Linked DNA regions of Callithrix jacchus. The protein of the gene in region 2 purifies or fractionates together with the protein of the main gene of each other region. This does not show direct contact. Links are inferred from orthologs where the notes say so. Each region holds a gene or a part of one and is shown on either strand. Other genes may lie near its edges.

What was found.
Region 1: the proteins of CSTF2 (region 2) and CSTF3 fractionate together in Homo sapiens (co-fractionation; 4 studies listed by BioGRID and IntAct, with this or other methods). This does not show direct contact. The link is inferred for Callithrix jacchus from reciprocal best matches to the Homo sapiens genes CSTF2 and CSTF3.

Annotation. Positions count from the first base shown.
Region 1 is NC_133511.1:98,475,643-98,479,142, forward strand, and holds part of CSTF3 (cleavage stimulation factor subunit 3), read right to left. Parts: intron 3,405-3,500; coding exon 3,288-3,404; intron 3,019-3,287; coding exon 2,944-3,018; intron 922-2,943; coding exon 778-921; intron 403-777; coding exon 300-402; intron 1-299. UniProt on the Homo sapiens protein: One of the multiple factors required for polyadenylation and 3'-end cleavage of mammalian pre-mRNAs.
Region 2 is NC_133524.1:97,134,136-97,137,635, forward strand, and holds part of CSTF2 (cleavage stimulation factor subunit 2), read left to right. Parts: intron 1-223; coding exon 224-343; intron 344-457; coding exon 458-595; intron 596-2,965; coding exon 2,966-3,089; intron 3,090-3,500. UniProt on the Homo sapiens protein: One of the multiple factors required for polyadenylation and 3'-end cleavage of mammalian pre-mRNAs. This subunit is directly involved in the binding to pre-mRNAs.

The DNA of each region.
Region 1 (3,500 bases), on a different chromosome or scaffold from region 2:
TTGCCCAGAGTCATCAGAGATGAATATAAACAACTCTATGTCTCCTAACTCTAACTTTGTAGGTTTATCCCACTACTGATGGTACTTTACTAAATAAAAACAGTTCTGCAGAGTCAAAAAGTAACTACCATTGCTCTGTAAATATATTCATGGTTGATATGACACAAGTATTTCTTGAGTGCCTATCAAGTCTGCTATGATGTCAAAATTATAATACATTCAAGAAGGAAAAACTCAAGCACCATAATTTCAGATGGTTTAATGTTAAGTAATCATTATAGATTCTAGAATCAACCTACCATTGAGGTGAGAAAGATAGTCAATATAGGCCAGGACATACTCTGGAATATCTCCATACTTTTTTAGCCCCAGCTCAAAAATCTTAAAGGCAACAGATTTGTCCTACAAGTAAAGAAAGTAAAGTACTGATTTCCATGTAATGTCAGATAAAATACTTATAAGAATATTAAAATTATACCTAAATAAGACCAAATAAATAAGAATTAAAGCAGAAATTAAAATCATGTTAAGTAAAAATTGCTGAGCTAAAAACTATTTAAAGGAGTTTAGGCTCAGAAATGTGGTGATTAATAAGGCATGAAAAGCAGGCAGTTGGGGATTTGGATGATGCTCTGTGTAATTTTACACATATACACTTAGGCTGTCTTTAAAAATGGAGCAATAAAATCTTAATGACAGAAACTAAGACCACCTTTCTTTTACAAGTCTCAGATGATGGAAGTTGTTTTACCTTTACACTTGTATTTCAGTATTTACCTTACTACAGTAATACTCCATGAGTGCTGCAGTAACATAGACATGGTGGCGGGTTCTGGTATCTTCTCTTGCTTTTTTAAATATCATTCTTCCAGATTTGATGCCTTCTGCTCTCCGTGCAAATTTCATATATTGGATATATACCTATGCAAAAAAAAAAAGTATTTGTGTTTTACAAATTAGGCAGTATGTTTCCTGTATAAAAAAGTAATCCTCAATACCCAAGAAATTAGAAAGTAGGAATTTAGATAACATGCTATTTAAATCCACAAGCTAATTTTTCTGATATTAGATATTAGAGATGTAAGCAAATTAATTTGCTATTGTTTTTTATTGAGATATAATTCACATACCACAAAATTCACCCTTTACAATTCAGTGGGTTTTTGTTGTTATTGTTGTTGTAGTTTTTAAAGACGGGGTTTCACCATGTTGGTCAGGCTGGTCTTGAACTCCCGACCTCAGGTGATCCACCCGTCTTGGCCTCCAAAGTGCTTGGATTACAGGTGTGAGCCACCATGCCCAGCCCTACAATTCAGTGGTTTTAAATATATTCACAAAGTTGTGCAATCATCACCACTAATTCTAAAATTAAAGGTTAAGAGGAAAAGTGTGAAACTACTAGAACATACTCCACTAATGAATGCCAATATCTAAAAGTCTCGAGAGTTAATTTAATACAAGCATGTTTGCAATACATGTTTAACTTCTCATTTTCTTGGTTTGTATTTATTTATTTTTTTAATTAATTTATTTTTTGAGACGGAGTCTCACTCTTGTTGCCCAGGCTGGAGTGCAGTGGCGCAATATTGGCCCACTGCAACCTCTGCCTCTTAGTTTCAAGCAATTCTCCCGTCTCAGCCTCCCAAGTAGCTGAGATTACAGGTGCCCGCCACTACACCTGGCTAATTTTTGTATTTTAGTAGAGACAGAGTTTCACCATGTTGGTCAGGCTGGTCTCAAACTCCTGACCTCAGGTGATCCTCCCGCCTCTGCCTCCCCAAGTGTTGGGATTACAGGCGTGAGCCACCTCGCCCAGCCTTGGTTTATTTTTAAAAGCCCACTATTCTATTTTCTAAACAACATATAATGGAACTTCATGGATAAACAATGAGCCATTTTATACCCAGCACCTATGAGTGTCTTAACATATCGTGAGTAAGCAGTATTTGTTTAATGAACAAATGACTATTAGTAGGGTCCTGGTTTGTCCAGTTTTGATAGATTGATAAATGGATGGATGAATGAACTATGAGTTCCTCAAGAAAAGGAGTTTTATCTAGTTTGTCATTATGTTGCTGAAGTCTAGCACAACGCATAGACTCCAGCAATATTTTTGCTAGATACGTTTGTGGAAAGAATTATAATAATAAATGTAGGAACTAGAGCAGTGGAATCCCAATATAAATCAGTAACAAAAAAAAGTAGTGTAGCTATAATTGACTGGAGGCAGAGGGTCTAGACACACCCACAAGCCTGTCCCCTTCCTCTGCCAATGGCAAAGCACCACTGCACTTTTGCACTCAGGACTTTGAAAACCACTATGATAGAATAGGATTTAGAATAAAGTGATTTTCAGTCTAATTTCTTCCCAGGATATTGGTTGTAATCCCAGCACTTTGGGAGGCCAAGGCGGGTAGATCATGGTATCAGGAGATTGAGATCATCCTGGCTAACATGGTGAAACCCCCTCTCTACTAAAAATACAAAAAATTAGCCAGGCATGGTGGCACTCACCTGTAATCCCAGCTACTCAGGGGCTGAGGAAGGAGAATCACTTGAACCCAGAAGGTGGAGGTTGCAGTGAGCCTAGATTGTGCCACTGCCCTCCAGCCTGGGCGATAGAGTGAGACTCTGTCTCAAAAAAAATAAAATTAAATAAATAAATGAAAAGAAAAAATTCTAACAGAAGACAGATCAGCAAATGTCAGAGATAAGGGCAGAGAGAAGGGTTATATCTACAAAGAAGTCACATGAGAGAATTTTTGAGGGATGATGGAGATGTTTTCTATCTTAATTGTGGTGATGATCCCATGACTCAATGTTATTTGTCAAGATTCCGAGAACTATACAACAAAAACAGTGAATTTTACTGTATATACACTTAAATTGTTTTTTGTTAGATAAGAATGTAAAGGAGGAAAACAGATGTGTAAAGTTACTCACCAAGGTGGGGTCAATATCCTCAATTGCCAGAAGTCGGTTATATATACTATGAACCTTTTCATACTTCATGCGACTCTAAGGTGGTAGAGAAGAAGTGAATATTAACATGTGGTCATAAATAAGCAGGATTTGAACTCTAAGGAATCCAAAGGCTATAATCCCCCACGTCTAATGGCATCTCCACTGAGCATAAATATAGTATAAGCTGATAACGAATAACTGTTCATTTGGAATTATCTCTGTCTACCAAAAGCAATATGCCTGGCAAAAAAGCAGCAAGAAGAAATGTTCAGTCCTGCAGTAAAAAATTGAATTATAAGAAGGCTCTAAATATTTTTACTTACCTCTTCATAATCTGCATATGCAAAATAAAGAAGCATATTCTTCTTCAATAAAGTGCTTATGGCTCTTTCATATATATTAGCAGCTTCATCACTAAATAATTTGGCATTATTCATATCCTAGGAGAAAAAAAAGCTCATCATCAATTTTAATATAATTGTGAGAGAATAAAATTAATAGTTATATCTACTTTATTTTATTTATATGTGTCTAAG
Region 2 (3,500 bases):
TTAAAATTTGGCCTTTTTCCTAAATGACCGTATCACAGTATTTGAAATGCCTCTTTCTTCTCTTGCCTGCCATGACCAAGGATTGTTTTTTTTGTGTGTGTGCCATGCAAAAACTGTTGATAAAGAGCCTCTTGAATATTACATTTCTCAGAGGGGAATGGCTTTAAATCACTATCAGTTTCTAAGTCATAAGTATTAAACCTGAATCTGCTTATCTTCTTAGCTCTGTGTCCAGAATAGTCCCCAGGAGGCACGGAACATGTTGCTTCAGAACCCTCAACTGGCTTACGCTTTGCTGCAAGCACAGGTAGTGATGAGAATTGTGGATCCGGAAATTGCCCTGGTGAGTGCTTCTGGTTCTTTTATGGAAATGGTAGGGTAAACCTTGAGTGGGATAGGAACTACCTGATTGCTTTGTTAAACAGATAGCTCATAGGTTTGTCTTTTCACTTTTTAGAAAATTCTACATCGCCAGACAAATATCCCAACGCTGATTGCAGGCAACCCTCAGCCAGTCCATGGTGCTGGGCCTGGCTCAGGATCCAATGTGTCAATGAACCAGCAGAATCCTCAGGCCCCTCAGGCCCAGTCTTTGGTAGGGCTTTATCCCTTAACATTTATTTTATCAGTCTTAGAATATCATTTTCTTTTTAGGAGAATATATTGAAAGAAGAATGGTCAGGAACCAGAGATGATAATTTCAATTTCCAGGCATAAAAGCAATTTCCAGGTTGCAGAGCACATGGCATCTGAATGAATATAGATTCGATTCCAAGTTTGTAAAACAAAGAGATCCTTCCTGTATGCCCTTTTCTTATAAGCTAACTTTGTGTGTATGTGCATGCCTGGCACTGTGGTTGGCACTTCGTTATTCCATACGCATTATCTCATTTAATCCTCAAAGCAACTATATGAGGTTGGCACTCTTATTATCTCCATTCTTACCAATGAAAAAAGTAAAGCTTGCTTTCAAAGCGTGATACAAAACCCTAAAGTCACAACAAATTGATACATTTGAAAACTAAAAAATTTCCATGTAAAGAAAAAGAAATAAATATCAAAGACATGACAAATTGGGAAAAAGTGTTTGCCACACACGTGAGGACAACAGACTAATAAAGAGCCCATAGTCATGCACAGGAATGTTTATTGCCATATTGTAGTGAAAAATTGGAAATGTCCTAAATGTACATCAATGGAAGAATGGAGAGAATGTGTGGTACATTCATCCAGTGAAATACTCTACAACAATTAACTAAACTACACGTATCAACATGAATGACTTTGAAAAACAAAATTCCATACAGTAGTTAAGATGAACTAGGATACATGACATCAACACAAATAACTCCAAAACAATACCATACGGATGTGAAACTAAGTGAATGTGGACATATTCCCGAAATGTAGGATATATGTATCTGCATAAATCCCCAAAATATGTTGAGTGAGTTGCAAAAGAATATATTGAGTATGTAATGATTCATATAAAATTTTAAAACATTAAAAAGAGTCTTAGTGGTCAGCTAAGGAGAAGAGAGCACAGGATGCAGTTGGGGAAGACCATACAGGAGATTGATTTATTTTATTATTTATTTCCTAAGCTGGGTGGCTATTTTCTATATGATTTGTATATCTGTAATTTTTCATACTAAACTTTAAAAGGCCTCCTATAAATTAGTAAGAAAATTACCAATAACCCAGTAGAAAAATGGGAAATGGACATAAATAGTTCACAAAAGCAGAAATGTAAATATATGAAAATGTATTAAACCTCAAGATAATGTAATAAATTATCATTAATATGCATAATGTTAAAAAATAAGATAATGTAAATAGAAACTACAATAAGCTACCATTTTTCATCTCTCAGATTGGCAGAGATACAGGGCAGGGGTCAGCAAACATTTTTCCGTAGATCAGATGGTAAATATTTTTGGCTTTGCAGGCCACAGGATCTGCCACAGCTACTCTGCCATGGTAATATGAAATTAGCCATAGGCAATATGTAAACAAGTGTGTGTGTGGTTGTGTTGCAATACAAGTTTATTTATAAAATCAGGCGGTGAGCCTGATTGGGCCCATGAGCCATAGTTTGCCAACCCCTGCTCTAAATAAATAAATAAATACATTTTCAGAGATAGAAAAAAAAAACCAAGGCCCAGAGAGGTTAGCTGGTCCAAAACTTAGCACAATTATAAGTGGCAAATCTAGTTCTGAGCCTGGTATTATCTGACCTCATAGCCAGTTTTCTCTTAACTACCTTCCTATACAGCTCTTCCGTTTCTTTTGTAGAGTTTTGTGTTCCTTAAACGTGTATGCAATTTTTTTAATATAACGTGGCTTTTATTCTTTATTTATTGAGCTCTTTCTATTTCAAGGGACTACTCAGTTTTTTGGGGAATGCACAGATGAAAAGATGACATTCTCTTTCTCTCAAAGAGTTTTAATGTAGCATTAAAAAAAATTTACATTCCCCCAAAACCAGAATTATATCTAAGGACAGGAATGAGAAAACATTGGTTAAATTTTTTTAAAAATTAATTTTAAAAATGTGGACTACCAGCAGTATTTTTCTTTTTAAGAGTCCTAGTCTCCTTTTTTCTTTCTTGGCTTTAGGGCATTTTTTTTTTTAAACTGTTATTGCCAGACCCCAATCATGAAGTTAACAATAGGTGCTATGTGCTGTCTTGCCACACAGATAAGACTTGTCAATCTCTACATTAAGAATATGTTCCATCTTAACCGTGTTCCATATAACCAGGTTCATGATGTGTATTGCAACTTGCTTCTGTGGAGTTCAAAGTGTGTGACAAATCTAATGCTGCGTAAGACATGCTATACAAAAAGGATGTTTGGTAGACTATTCGGGGCTGTTCATTTGAAGAGGACTTTTAAGGTCATAGACTTAGTATATTGCGTATCCACAGAGGCATGTACATACTCTGTTTTTTTTCTTGGTCAGGGTGGAATGCATGTCAATGGCGCACCTCCTCTGATGCAAGCTTCTATACAGGGTGGAGTTCCAGCACCAGGGCAATTACCAGCATCTGTCACAGGACCTGGCCCTGGTTCCTTAGCTCCTGGAGGTAAGTTTCATTTAGTCTTCACCATTTCAGTACTTGCTAAAGTTTTGTCATAGCCACTGTTTCAGTACAGCCAACTATGATAATGGGATCCTTAAGTAAAATTAATACACAGCTAGAAAGCATATATCCTAGGTGGAGGAAATAGAGTTCTTATGTTAAATCCTATATGTCTAATTATAAGAAGAGGGAGAGGGACAATAAAGCGGAATAACATAGTAAAACTTCCAAGTTAACAAGTGGGAAAATGGAATGAGTGGAAACTAAATCAAGCCAGCAAAAATAGAGAAAAGGAAAAAAGGAAGGGACAATGTAAAATAAGTAATAATAAGTGTAGAGTAAGATGGAAGGAATAAAAACTAATGTTGTTATTCTGCTAAATATGAATGAACTATTAGATTAAGTTCAAAAGCT